Alligator mississippiensis: one gene and its partner. The protein of the gene in region 1 binds, or shares a complex with, the protein of each later gene. Links are inferred from orthologs where the notes say so. Each region holds a gene or a part of one and is shown on either strand. Other genes may lie near its edges.

What was found. The genes of interacting proteins can lie anywhere in the genome.
Region 2: the proteins of HCN2 (region 1) and PEX5L are in contact, whole or in part, in a crystal structure (PDB 4EQF), measured with the Mus musculus proteins. The link is inferred for Alligator mississippiensis from reciprocal best matches to the Homo sapiens genes HCN2 and PEX5L. Residues at the interface, in NP_032252.1 of Mus musculus: Leu859, Ser860, Ser861, Asn862, Leu863; in NP_001156988.1 of Mus musculus: Glu315, Glu317, Val343, Asn347, His426, Asn453, Arg454, Ala457, Thr458, Ala460, Asn461, Tyr472, Arg484, Tyr487, Asn488, Ile491, Ile494, Ile537.

The regions. Positions count from the first base shown.
Region 1 is NC_081839.1:3,507,195-3,515,079, reverse strand, and holds the start of HCN2 (potassium/sodium hyperpolarization-activated cyclic nucleotide-gated channel 2), read left to right. Parts: upstream 1-4,813; coding exon 4,814-5,250; intron 5,251-7,885. UniProt on the Homo sapiens protein: Hyperpolarization-activated ion channel that is permeable to sodium and potassium ions. Displays lower selectivity for K(+) over Na(+) ions. Contributes to the native pacemaker currents in heart (If) and in neurons (Ih).
Region 2 is NC_081830.1:80,679,850-80,686,867, reverse strand, and holds the start of PEX5L (PEX5-related protein), read left to right. Parts: upstream 1-3,976; 5' UTR 3,977-4,006; coding exon 4,007-4,075; intron 4,076-7,018. UniProt on the Homo sapiens protein: Accessory subunit of hyperpolarization-activated cyclic nucleotide-gated (HCN) channels, regulating their cell-surface expression and cyclic nucleotide dependence.

The DNA.
Region 1 (7,885 bases):
AATGAGATCTCGCAGCAGGATATTTATATCCCTGGTTTCAGGTTCGTCCTGCGGCGCTGGGAGGCAGAGGAGGAGCCCCGGGAGCAGAGCTGGGAGCCTGTGACCATCTGCAGCAATGGCAGGAAGGGTTCGGTCCAGCCCTTGCAAGCTCCGTCCAGCCACCAGCGGGTGGGAGGGCAGGAGGGAGATGGCCCTGGCTGGGCTCTGGTCCCTGGCAGGGAAACTCCTGGTATGTTAGCAGCTGCCTTGGTGCATGGGGAGGCGGCTCTGAGATGCCCCCAGGATGACACACGGGTGGGTCCGTGGGGCGGCGCCGGACCTTGGTGGGCAACTGTGGTGCCCGCTTGTTCCACTGACCTCTGCCTTTTCCGCCGTGGGGTGTCTTGGGCTGGGACTCCAGGGACGTCTTCCCCGTGTTGCTGCCAGATGTGAGGCAAGGCTCATCCTTCCCTGCCCTGATCCTGTCGGGGACTCTGGCTGCCGGGCTCATTTGGGGCCACTTGGCAGACGTGCTGCTCGTGGTATAAGGTAAATGCTGGGCTGCTGTCACCAAGATGCAGAGTTTGCGTGTTTATCCTCCTAGCACAGATGGGGAAACTGAGGCAGGGAACAGGTGAGAAGGGCTGGGGTCCCAGCCTAGCCCCATGCAGAGAACACTGCCCGTGCTAGACTGCACGCTTGGGCCGCTCTCTTGCAGGCATCAATAAAGCCAGCCCAGTGCCTGCTCCAGCTCCCAGCCTGCTCTGCCACCGATTTCCTGGGGCTCCTTGGGCAAGTCCCTTAGGCTGCCTCCCCTCAGCAAGAGGAAGGGGGATGGTGGTAGCTGTGCCCTGGTCCCTGGTGTGTGCTTGGGGGCCCAGGCTGCTGTTGCCCCGGCTCACTTGACTGCCTTGCAACCCCTCTTCCTCTTGCTATCTGGCCCCCTCCCTCTGCAACTTGTTACCCTTTGTAATGGAGGGGGAAAGTCCTGCCTGCTTTCCAGGGAGGGGAAGATACCCAGGTACCCCAAGAAGGGGTAAGTAGCTGGCCTCCTGGCTGGCTCTAAGCCCCCGCAGCTCCTCTAGCAGGAAGGCTGCACCCTTGTGCCATCCCCTGTCTCTAGCAGCTCAGTGGCAGTGCCAGGCTGATGCCCCTGCCCTCCCCTTCCCCCAGCCTTGCTGCTGGGCAGGCCAGGCTGGCTCCATCACCCCTGCAGGAGTAGGCTTTGATCTCCCTCCAGGGATCAGCCCATGGGAGGGTTGACACAGGCACGACATCCCCCGAGACGTGTCTCGCGCGGTGCCAGGAGTGCCTGCAACGTGGGGGGATCCGGGATGGTGAGTCACTTCTCCCGCCCACCATGCCCAGCCCGGCAGCCCCTGGGCCTGAAGAGCAGGGAGTAATTTGGGATGCAGCATTGGGATTGCACTCCCCAGCCCCACTTCATGTGTGGCCGGGGCCCTGTCCCTCCTCCAGCCGACTGCCTGGCACCTGGTGCCCTGGGGAGGTGCGCTCCGCAGGTGACTGGTGCTAAGAGGCTCTGATCTCGGACAGGGGAGTGCAACACGAACCCGACTCTGCCTGTCATCACCAGGCGCCTGACATTCGCTTGTCCTCTGTTATCCCGCTGTGCCCAGAGCCCACGGGGAGGATCAGGCCCCATTCCCAGAGACCTAAGAAGGTGGCACTGGAGGGGCTTATAACGGGCAATGGTGGGAGAGTCTCATTCTGACTCTGCCACCGACTTCCCACAGAGGCCTTGGGCGAGTCCCTTTTCATCCCAACCCCTCTGCAGGCAGGAGAACACTGCAGCAGACGGCCCTGGGCCAGCAGGAGCCACAAAGACACGTGAGCCATGTCGGGTACATCTGCACAGCAAAACCACGGAGGCTGGCGAGTCCCCAGCGCCGTTGGGCGGCAGGATTGTTTTAGAACAAGGGCAGACGGGCACTTGTCTGGGATAATTTGGACCGGGTTGATCCTTCCCGCAGCCGGAGGCTGGACTGGATCCGAAGCCTGGCTGCTCAGCGAGATGAATCTATAACTATCGCTCGTAAGCGAGGAGTGCGGCGAACGTAGGAAGCCGTCTAGGAATGTGCGCCGTGATCTGGAGTTTGACTCAGCATCCTGGCCATGGCTCTCTCCAAGAAGGAGGGAAAACAATCATCTCATTAATCCTTCGAGCCCATTAACGAATGAGTAGGGCAGAGCCAAAGAAATGGAGCTCTTCATCGCCCTTCCAAGCCAGCACGGGCCAGGAACCGGCAGCTGGAGGTGGGAGGTTGGTTTCAGGTCTGGGAGGGCAGAAATTCGCCCCCTGGGGTGGCTGGTGCCTGCAGGTCGGCTCTGGGGCTACATGGGACCCCTTTTCTTTGGGATTGGAGCTGCCCGCTGGGCACAGGATGAATTGCAAACAGCTGTGGTAGGTGGATGACATCTGCCCCAGGCCTCCCTGCAGCCAACGCAGCAATGGCTGTTGAGAGGCAGCATTGCCAAATGGAGAGTGCCCCGGCCAGGAGGAGAGGCCCTGCGATGCGCTTCCTGGGTGGCCACCGGCTAGCCCCTTTGACTCGCTCTCTGCCTCAGTGTCCCCAGCTATCAAAACCAGGCTGAAGACTACTGATGGAAACAGCACCCCGCGGGTCGGGCACTGCCGCTCCCTGCACTGTCCAGAATGCCATTCATTGCCAACTTCTGGACGGCGTCTGCAGCCCCCTGGGGGCACGGAGAGCCCAGGCAGGGAGAAGCAGGGCGCCCCATGAGCAGGGTCTTGTCTCGAGGCTGGTGGTGGCAGTTCCCTGCTCTCCCCAGCCGGACAGGGGTGTGCAGCACTCCCGGCAGCGATGGCAACTGGTAGCTGTGATGGACACAGGAATGCACTTGGTCTTGCAGTGGAAGGGGGCTGTTCCACCATCGTAGATCTCCGCAGCCTCCACAGCTGGGGGCAGAGGGAGACCGCAAGCTGGGTTCAGAGCTCGGGGAGAAGACGATGGGTCCAAGGTGCATGCAGATGCTGAGATGAAATGCAGGGACTTACCTTTGCATCTGGGTACCGCTGACCCGGTCCAAGAGACAAGGATAAGTAACAGAGCTCAGACCCTGGAGACTACCCCGGGAGTCACCCGCAGAGAGTGGGTGCAGAGGGGGGCTCTGCAGTGCCCTCCATGACGCCCCGCACCTTCTGCCCCTATTTTTGCTGCCACTCCAGGCAGGGGGAAGGTGACACAGGGGGCCAGATCCACCAACCCCTTGTTAGGCCTGTCCTGGATGCTCTTGCAGGTCCCAAGCCTGTGGAAAGACACGGCTTGTGCAGGGTTGGGGGGGTTGTCAATGGAGAAAGGCCAGGCTGAACCCCCCATTTTGCCTGCAGTCTTGTGATGTATCAGGGGAAGTCCAGAGAGAGGCAAGTCCCTTGCCCTGAGCCTGGCCTGTCACAGCCTGTCTGGGCCCCTCTCACCCACACCATGGGGTCCAAAGCAAAAAGCACCAGAGGCCCAGACGACAGTGAGGACGCAGCTAAATCCACCTGGCAGAGCGACACTTGGCACAGGATCTTTCAAGACCCCTGCCCCAGTGGGGAAACACACAGCGAAGAGGACCTTGAGACAACCAAATCGGAAGACAGTCCTCCAGTGGGTGAAATGAGTTTGCAACCCCTTCGTTGGGGACGGGACTAAGAGGCCAGGGGCTGTAGGGAGACGATGCCTTGCAGACGGGCCTGCCTTTCCACGGGTGCGAGGATTGTAACGGCTGGTGGGTTCCTACGGTGGGTCAAGGAGACAACGATCAGTGAGCAGAAGGTGTGTGTGTATACGTAGATACGGGGCAAGGGCAGTGACCATGGGTGACCAGTCACTGGTGGGTTAAGGAGGCAATGATCGGTGACTAGACTGTGTGTATGTGTGTGTATATATGTGCACGCTTATGTGTGTGTGTGTATATATATATATATATATATATATATATATATATATACACGTGTGTGTGTGTATACATGTATATACAACCTTTATATGGGTTAAGGAGGCAGTGATCAGTGACCAGAAGGGGTGTATGTATACGTAGATATGGGGCAAGGGCAGTGACCATGGGTGACCAGTCACTGGTGGGTTAAGGAGGCAATGATTGGTGACTAGACTGTGTGTATGTGTATATGTGTGTGTGTGTGTGTAGATAGATAGATAGATAGATAGATAGATAGATAGATAGATATGTGAGTGTGTGTACATGTTTATACAACCTTTATATGTCTTTATATGGGTCAAGGAAGCAGTGATCAGTGACCAGAAGGTGTGTGTATACATAGATATGGGGGAAGGAGGCATTAACCATTGATCAGTGACTAGATCATGTGTATATCTATCTATATCTATAGATATATCTTTATCTATCTATCTATCTATAGATAAAGATCTCTCTCTCTATATATATATAGAGAGAGAGATCTTTATCGATCGATCGATAGATAAAGATATATCTATATCTATCTGTATCTATCTCTATATACAGATCGATGTAGATCTAGACGGAGATGCATGCTGTGCGGGCCGAGGCGGCAGTGGTGGCTCGGGACGAGCTCGGTGCCCGGGAGGTGCGTGTGTCCGTGCAGACACGGGGTCGGGGTCGGGGTCGGGCGCAGTGGCGCGACGGGGCAGGGGAACACAACCTTTCTGTGTGTGTCTCTCTCTGGGCAGATGACGTTTATTCTGGCCCCCAAGAAAGCCGCCGAGCCCCAGCGGCGGCCCCGATCCGGGCTCCGCCCCGGCCCCGGCTCCTCCCGCGGGCGGGCGGGCGGGGCGGCGCGGGTCGGGCCCGGCCGGGCTGGCGCTGCAGCATGCGGGGCGCGGAGGAGCGGGAGGCGGGCGAGGGCGAGGGCGAGGACGAGGCGGCCCGGCGGGGCGCGCAGCGGCGGCTGCGGGGCGGCAGCATGGGCGGGCGGGCGGGCAAGGGCTCGCCGAACGGCGAGTGCCGGCGCGGGGAGCCGCAGTGCAGCGGGGCCGGGGCCGAGCCGCCGCGGGAGCCCAAGGTGTCGTTCTCGTGCGGGTCGGAGAAGGCGGCCGAGGAGGGCGCGGGGCTGGCGGACGAGGCGGCCGGGGAGGAGGCGCGGGGCAGCCAGGCCAGCTTCATGCAGCGGCAGTTCGGCGCCCTGCTGCAGCCCGGCGTCAACAAGTTCTCGCTGCGGATGTTCGGCTCGCAGAAGGCGGTGGAGCGCGAGCAGGAGCGCGTCAAGTCGGCCGGAGCCTGGATCATCCACCCCTACAGCGACTTCAGGTCCGGGCTGCGCCGGGATCGGGCCGGGGTGGTCCCCGCCCTGGGGCTGGGGGCAGCGGGCACGCGGCCTGGCTCTGGTGCCCCTGGAGAGCATCAGGGATCAGACCCTCGGCACGGCTCGGAGGGAGAAGCCTGGCTTGGTGCCCGCTATAAGGCTGGGGGTCATCGGGGATCCTTCCCCCGCACCCCAGACAGGCTGCAGGGTCAGGGATCGGGGCCCTCGGCACGGCCGGGGTGGGGAGCTGCGCTTGCCCCCCTCTGTAAGGCTGGGGTCGTCGGGGATCTGCCCCAGCTTCCTTCCCGCTGTAGAGGCTGAGGGCCTCATCCCTGCTCCTGCAACCAGGCTCGGAGGTGGGGGGGTTAAAGAGGGGAGCCCGGCTTGGTTCCCACGATAAGGCTGGGGGTCGTCAGGGATCGAGCCCGGCTCTGTCCCCACTCTGGAGGGGCTGTCGGATCAGGGACCGGGGCCTTCTGCAAGGTCGGGGCAGGGGTGTGTCCTGGTCCCCACTATAAGGCTGGGGGTCATGAGGGATCAGGCCTGGCTCCATTCCCCCTGTAGAGGCTGCAGGATCAGGGCCCTCAGCAAGGCCCTGGGGGTTTGGAGATGGGGGAGCCCAGCTTGGTGCCCGCTGCAAGGCTGGGAGTCCAGGGATCGGGCCCGGCTCCAGTCCCCGTGTAGGATCGGGGAGTGGGCCTGGCTCTGCAAGGCTGGCGGGGAGGGGTGGTAGGAGCCTGGCTCAGCCCCCTCCTGTAGGGCCAGGGTGAAAGTGGGGATGGGGATCAGTGCCCCCTGCAAGGTGTGTGGGGGGGCATGGCTGGTCCGTCCCCCCTCCAGGTGCTGGTGGGGGAGGCAGAGGAGTGGGGAGGGGGCCCAGCTGCTGCCATCCCCCGCTGGGGGGGTCTGGGAAAGCGGCAGGGTCTGGGGGGGGGGTCTGTGATTCTGCCCCTGAGCTGCCATGGGCTCCGAGCGGGGGCTGCCTCCTGGGTGGTCCTTGCAGCCCCATAGCGGGAAGCAGGGGGGGCAGCTGGGGGGCTCCGGATCCCCTCGGGCCCCTCGGTGCTGGCCGCGGCTGCAGGGTCTGGAGCCGCAGACCCGGCAGAGGGGCTGGAGGGGCGGCGAGGCCCGGCTGCAGCCGAGAGGGCACCTTGAGCTGGGGCTGCAGGTTGGAGGAGCGAGGAGCGGCCCAGATGCTGGCTGCAGCCTCCTCGCTAGTGATGGGGGGGAGGGGGCCGGGGAAGCAGCTGGGTCCAGGCGCCTTCTTTCCCCCCCCCGCCCCCCTGCAGGCCCCGACCCCTTTGCTCTGCCAAGGACGTCCCTTCCCCATAGCCCAGATCCTGGAGAGACTGAACTTGAGCTTGGCCCCCTGGCAGGAGGACCCCCCCCCAGGACGGGGGCAGTAGGGATGCCCCCAGGGTCTGGATGTAGCTTGCAAGGGGCAGGAGCAACCCCACCCTCGGCCGAGCTGGCTGGGCAGAGGCTGAGCCCCACCAGCCAGGCTCCCAATTCCAGTGCAGCGGTGCTGGGGTTGGGGGGGCCCGTCGGTGCTTGGAGAACCTGTCTTGGAGGGGGGAGGGGAGCCCCGGGCAGCCGTGATGCAGCAGCTTTGGGTGTCCAGACTCGGACATGCTTTAGCGGTGGGGTCCTCTGGTCCTGCTGGGCAGGGGGGGTGGCAAAGATGCCCAGTTGTGGAGGGCAACCTCCGGGAGCTGCACGACGGGGGCAGAAGACCCTCCCTGTGTCTGAGCCCTGGGAGAGCTCGGGGAATGGGCTGGTGTCTTCCTTGAGGGCAAAGGGCTGGTTGGGAGACGCAGCGACGCGAGGCTTTTTGCAGCGCTTAAAAATACAAAGCTCCTTCTTCCTTCTCCCCCCCACCCAGTAATGCTAATCCTAAAAGTGGGGGGGCCTTGTCTCCCCGCTGGCTGGGCCTGCGTCCCCGTGAGGCCCACGCTTCCCATGGCAGGCTCTGAGGATGCTGCTGTCATGGGAGCTCTGGGTACCACGTTCTCCTCCTGCCTTGGCTGCCTCTGCCTTCCTGGAAGCATCCAGGCGGTAGCAGCCGGCCCGGCGCTCCCCCCCCCACACCTCCCCGAGCCGGCAGGCACCGGGAGAGAGCCTCTCCTCTCCGAAGCGGGGTCCTCCTGGCGCTGCCCCCGTGGCTGGGACCGGAGGGACCGGATCAGTCTCAGTCTCCTAACGATGCTGCTTCCTGTCTGATGAGCTGTGGGGGGGTTCAGCGGCTCGCCAGCCCAGACCGGCGCGAATCTGTTTGGAATACTGATGGTCCCTGCCGCGGTCTGGCGCTCAGACATGCCAGCCGCGGCCGGGGCCTTCCCCCAGCAGGTGCTGTGCAGACAGCTGCAAAGAGCCGAGCCTGGCCCCAGGCAGCTTGCAAAGGCAAGGGGCAGGTAGTTGCCCGAGGTCACCCTGCTCGGTGCCGGGGGATCTGGGATCCCTGACTCGGCCATCCCCGGTCCCCCGTCATGTCCCCCAGCCCGGCAGGGGTCTGCTTTTCTGTGCCCGCTGCCGTCCATGGGAAGCCTACATAAGGCCCTGCTCCCTGGGTGCCTTACGGCATGGGTCTGGCTTGCCGAAGGGGCCCTGCGCGCGGCAGAGAATCTCCCTGAGACGTGCCCT
Region 2 (7,018 bases), on another chromosome or scaffold:
TTTACTTTGGCGCCATTCAGAAACACCAGCTGTTAAAACAGCATATAGTATATTCCCCTAAAGAATCCGCCAGGGTGGGTTTGCAGATGTTTTCACATCCTTGCAGAAATGACTATTGCTATTGATTCTCTCAGACCTGAAAATGAACCTGAAGATTTTGGTAGCAAGCTTTTCACTGACCTCAGTGTGTGGAGGAAATACTTTAAACTCTTTTGCTTATCTTTTTTTGGAGATGCCTCCTAAAAGGAATGGCTCAGTGTTAGTTGTAGCAGATAACAAAGCACAGACATGTTACTCAATGTGACTGCCACAGCATATTGTATGAAAACCAGTCATACCTTTTCCTTACACCATTTCATTCTCGGCGCTATCCTTGCTTGATATGCAGTTTTGCATGTTCCGCATCATCATGCACACTGCAGACAAAAGAGGTATTTGTGAAACTCATTCACGGAGTTATCAAAATGCTACATATATAACAAATTAATTTACCTCGGGTTTTTGAGTAACTGTTCATTATGTGGAACTGGCACATGCCAAGTGAGCTGTTTCAGAATTACAGTGTTTGAGCACCAAGCTAACGTAACAGGCAAAATACATACAGCAAGCCAAACTGCTGAGACACAGTGCTGCACAATGAAGGCAGCCAAGTAAATAAGCAGTGTGCATTTGTAAACACACTTCTTCCCTGAGTTTGGTTCCAGCAATCATTGTATTTGGACTGCCATCACGAGAACTCGACAGATAACTATTTCAGATGCAGTTCACAAACTGTTTGTGTTGCAGAGAGGATAGACTTGCCCACCTACATGCCAGACGCAGTCTAACTTCTGCCCCACGCTCCTGCCAACGGAGGTACTGATGCCAAATTTAACAGACAGGCAACACTTTAGAATACACAAAAATTCATACAAGTATTAGGCACCAACACCTCTCTTCAGGGATGTGAATTGGTGACTGGACTGTCAGAGGTACTGAGTACCTTCATTTCCACCCGCTAAAACCCCTGGAGATTTTAGCTGCTGTATTGTAGTCTTCCTTTCCTAGGATTAAGTTCGTTGCCAGATAAGTTCTGATTCCAAAATTGTTATTGTGCATCATTAATTTGTCCATTATAAATTAGCTTGGTTCACATATACTCTGTCCATGTTGCAGCTCATTTGAAATGTTTTCTTTTGATTTGCAAACATAGCAAATGTGATACAAAGTCACTAAGGGTAAAGAAATATAGTCTCCCAAGATGTTATTCTCATTAAATTGCTGTTGTAACTATGGCCAGGGTTTTAGGCTAAGTAGAGACAGTCAAAAATCCCAAGGCTGAATCGATTAAATCCTCACTGGTTAATCTAAAATGTATCATTTGAAGTGATAAGCAAATAAACAGAAGCATGGGGGGCACTAGAGCAAACCTTCCTGCTTGGCTGAAGCAGACAGCTTGGCCACCTGCCCACCGTGTAAGGGAGGGTTTGTGGGAGAGGTGCAAAGCATCCTGGGATGCTGGGGGACTGTAAGTTAACTTGAATCTGGAGGGGATCTGGGACAGAAGTTCAATCAACTGATTTAACCTAAATCAGTTAAGTCTGATACTACAACCGTCCAGGTTCATCTTAAAATGCTTGTGGCCATCTTGCAAGAGGTTTATGTCCACTGAACTTCTGTTGTGTTACGGATTTAAACTAGTTTCCGATCACTTATTCCAGTTTATGTGTAATTTCTGTCCTTCGAAGTGATAAGACACATGGTGTGTATCAACCACCCACAGGGTTATATTTTAAAAAATTGATAGCAGGCACTAATGCAAGTATCATGACTCTTTTCAGGCAGTAGGTGAAACCTTGAAGAAAAAGTGGCTCTGTCTTCAAAAAAGTGACCTGACCTTTGCTTTGGTGGGTTTCTTCTGCACAAGAAATAAAAAGCACTGCATGCTTTCCTATGCATCCATTCTAGCTGATAACCTTCTTCGTTCTAGCATTCAGTACGAAAGGACTGAATTTTCTGAAAGTCAGGTAGCATGTTACTAGTCCTAGCTGAATAGTTGTTCCACATATCATGAGAAAATATCTTCATGGAATTGTAACTTACCATAATGGATTGTGAACAGAGTACATCAAGATTTGGCCAAAACCTTTGATATGCTTAGCAATTGGAACTTAGTTCTCATCAAACGATTCCAAACCAGTTTTGCAGCGTCTTTTGCCATTCTTTGGATATCAAAGGAATCATAAATGTAGCATGCCTATGTTTAATGACGCGGAATGAGAACTTCTTGCAGCATGCAAAGACCTCTCCATAGGGTGACTGTGATATGTTGCACAAAAAAGCTCATTTGCCATTGTTTTGATCATTCAACTGTTGTTAAATTGCAATGTTAAGTACATTCTCATTGCTGGACTAGAGAATACAGTATTTCTGATTTTAAGAGCTACATTATGTAGTTCAGTGTTAATAAACAGTATCCTTCCCTGAACAGTGCTTCAATGAAAAATCTAATAAGGCTCTTAGTTAATGAAATATAGTTAAGCTTATAATAAAATGTTGTTGCCATGGAGCCAGATTCTGTAGTCTTTGTGCATCCCAGTTTCCCACTGATTTCAATGGGAGTTTTGTGAGGGTAAGAACAGTGAGCGCATACCCTAGCTGAGTCACAAAGAAAATTCAACTCTGCTATTCTGCTCTACCAGCACACTGAAGACACCTATTGACATTTGTTTGAGCCTATAAGGAGAGCAGAGCAGCAGAGGTCCACTATCTGTCAAACTGATCCAAAAGGAAAATTTTGCTCTTAAGTTTTTAATACTTAAAGAGACTCAAACTTTTATTTTAGTAGGTTATGCTTCTGCAAAACACAGACTAAAGAAAATTGGCCTATAATGATTTGGGGCCAGATCCAATTCCCAAAGTAGTCAGTGGGAGTACATATTTGATTCTTAAAAACTCAAAAGCCTGGAATTTTTAAAAGCCAGTAAAGATTTCTATTTCTGTTCTCCAAATTTTAAGGCTTTATACACTTCACGTATGTTCTTCCTCTTAAGTCTGCAGGTATGTGCCTGCACTTTGTATCTCTGTAAGATGGATGCCTCAGAGCCCTAGCATCTTTCAAAAAAATTAATAGATTTATTTGATTTAGGTCTTATCATTTTTCTCATTTTAAGAACTTTAACGTCCTCTCAATACTTAAAGTCCAGTGCATTTAAAAAAACCTGTCATGTAAAAAAAAATCCTTTCTGCCATATTCTGTATCGCTATCAATTACTGCTTTCAGTGACATTTACCCCACCGTCAAAGATAACAGAATATGGCTCCTTAGGCTCTATAAATGAAGCCATGACCTTGCTTATGACATGTAACCTACTTTATAAAAAATATTTCAAATAAAAGATTTTAAAAGCTCTGGGCCTGTATAACACTTTCAACCCAGTCCTACAACCTGAATTTCCACTTAATGTCAAGGAAAGTTTGCCAGAGAAAACAAACCACAAGGATCTGTCCCTTTATTTGGAAATGCAGTGCAAGCTCTCATTTTAGTAGAAAGCTTATCCTGGTGTAGATCAGCTGTGAAATTTCAGTTAACCACAGTTACTTTGCAGTGAACAAATCAAGGGCCCGATCCCGCAGATCCTATTTATGTGGGGGCTCAACCCTATGAGATGCTCAAATCGTTCGACTCTCTCTGAAGTATTCCCAAAAGGCCTCGCATGATCAGGGCGACGTGCAGGCACGATCTACTTCAGTGGGGCAGCTCATATGAGCAAAGGCTACAGAGTTAGGCCCCGTCACAATCATTATTTAACAGGTTCATGGATATATATATTTTTTTTTTACAGTGTTTGTGTATTTTATTTTCTAAAAGCTTTACTTCCAGCACTTAACACCGTCATTTAATTAACGGATTGTTCTGGGGTATATATTTTGTGATCAGTAATAAAAAGTTTCCTCCTGACACAAGCCATTGTTGATTTCACTGTTGTAGGGGAAAGGCTCTAGGGCGGCAGATAAGGCTGTTGCCATGGTGATGAAGGAGATACCGAGGGAGGAGTCTGCAGAGGAAAAGCCCCTCCTTACTATGACATCACAGGTGGGCAGAATGCTAGGATTCCAGGAGGCAGCTGACATATGTTAATCTAATGGAGAATGTAATTAAAGTGAGCAGCAAAGCCATTGCCATTCTTGAGTCAAATTTAATAGGCAATTATAGTTTTCCCTGAAAAAGACCAATGATGATGAAATGTTACCCAAACGTGGGGAAAACCCTTTATTCATTGTTTAGTTTTGCAATTGGTATATTTTAGTTGTAGTGACTCTACTGGAGCTTAAGCCTTTAGAAAAAAATGTTTTGTACGAAATGTAAGTCAACAAATGTTGTTTCACGATAAAGTATGACTGAAAAAACATAGCTGTGCAATATTAAACCTGTGCTTTGGAAGTTTGAACAAGGAAAAAATGAACACAAATCCAAATCCTCTAACCAAATTTTTTTTTTTAGGAAGTACAGCAGACACATGTCAGTTACCAGTAGAGCATCTACAATTGATTTAAGATGTCAAGTATTACTCGTGCTGTCACATACTCTAAGCATTCACACATACAATAAGTAACAACCACTTCACTGCACCTAGCATCGTTTTTAAATCCCGTACATCAGCTCCCTTCTGAAAGTTTTCACTAACATGTAAGACACATTTCAATTAGAACAGAATTTACACATTTCATTGCTTTCATTTTTGTAAAGCTAGTCGATTCAAGGACTTGGTTCCATTTCCTGAAACTTGGCAGTCAGAACCACTGAGGAGCATTAAAGTCTTTTTATTAGCTTATTGCAGACAGTGAAAGACTAACACTGAATAATGAAAACCTCAGTTCACTGTAGCACTGGTTGTTACTCCCAGCTGTTGCAGACATGCACTTTTGTTTCACAAGAAAGTGTTATGAGTAACCAAAATAACACTAACATAAAACACATCTGAACTAGATGATACAAAAAAATTCCACGAGGGGTTACAGAATCCTAGCAATGGTGTAAATTTAGCAATATTTTTCTCAGTGATGTCTATAGTAATAGACTGTAATATAATTCCTTCATTTGATTCTTAATATGTAAAATACGAGTACATGATTTATTCATATTCAACAATAGGTTTAGTAGTGTGGTTATTCTTAAGAAAATAATCATCTTCAAAAAAAATCCCAAACACTTTATTCTTCCTTTTGCACTGTAATTATTATTCCAAATATGTTACGTGTAAAACGCTAGCGCAAGTTTGCCTTATGGATAGCATTTGTATTATAATACTTCAATAATTAGCAATAGAAGTTTTCATTGATGAAATTTTCCTATATTTTTAAGTCACGTCTGTCAATTTCCTCCCAGACCCCTGTCGAAACACTTGTGTTATACTTGTAATTTCTTGCATTAGTTAAAACATGGTTGCATGAGGGAATAGGATGCTTGGTTTAATGCATCATATTCTAGTTTTGCACTAACCAACTTATGAATCACAAGTATTAGAAGCCAGGAGTGAAACCCTGGCCCTACTGAGGTCAATGGCACAATTACCATTGATTTCAACAAGGCTGAGAGTTCAACCTAGATTCATAAAATGTTTGATGCATCATTGTATTGCTTGTCTGTCAATTTACTCAGCAGTAGTCTGTGACAATTATTCTAAGTAAAATGCTTGTGTCTGTGAGCATAAATTTCTTCCACTAAACACAAGTACCTACTTCCCTGCTATGCACCAATGGTGTGCACAAGCCAAAAGGAAGCAGAATCAAGTGAAAAGTGAGTATTTTCCATAGTCACCTCTATATCATGTATGTGTGATGTGTACTATATGATCATATCACGTCTATCACTCATATCCTAATTGGATGTAACAGTGTTTGCAAATGGTTGTGTTTTTAGTGTCTGCCTAAACCTCTTGCTCAGCCCATTCACCCAGAATAAAGTATTACAATACTGGAAATACATTCAGCCTTCACCATTCATATGTCTGTCTGAATTCTTCATATGAAGAGATAGATGGATGTGGCTGCAGCTCACAAAAAGTGCAAAACACCTATCTAATAGAAATAATCGTTAAGCATGCATTGGTCACGGACAAATTCATGTCAGATAAATTTCAGATCAACAGACTATCTTGCTAGAGTCATCACCTAATAATCACAGTGAAATCAGCACTGAAGAATGCTATAAAATTGTGTAATAGTTATACCTGTGACACCTACCACAAGATGTCATAAAATGCATTAGGGGCCTGATCGTGCAGCCTCCTTTTGCTGTGCAATTCCCATTAAACTCAGTGGTCAATCTACATGCGAACTGACTTCCACAAAGAGGCACAGAGGGAAATACATGAAATTCCTGGTTAATCCGACTCAGCTGTTTTTATCATGCACAAAATACAAACCACCTCCACCACCCTGCACAACATGCTTCATAAAGTAGGACCCACCATGTGCTTGACTGAGGAAGCAAACTGCTTTCTCTCGCCAGTTTAGGTAGGTCCCTAGACATAACGAACTGGCTTGTTGAACAGGGAAACGCTTTGCTGAACAGGAATATCCTGTGAGTATTTTACTGAATCAGAGCATTTATTCTCTCAGAATAGTAACGATAGCACATGATTAGAAACTGACCAAAAGTACCATTTTTTAATAGTCTCAAGCAAATGATCACAAATGATGTAAAGAGAGGTAGTTATTCTGAACTTGGGCAGAAAGCAGGGCCAGGTGGCACATTAGAAACTAACTGGTTTAGAGAGGCATGAGATTTTGTAGTTAGCAATGATCTGGAGCTATCTATCAAGAAATTCACTCTTCTGAACAGTGCACAAATCTTAGAATGACACAGATTGCTTATCAATGATTCACCCCCAGGAAAAAAATGCCAAATTATTTGTGGAAATCAATTTACTCTATTCTGTTCAGAATTGAAATGTGTGGGGTATGCAGATGAGACAGACACCTGGTTAGAATGGCCTAGTCAGGGATAATCCTGTCTTGAGCAGAGGGCTGGACT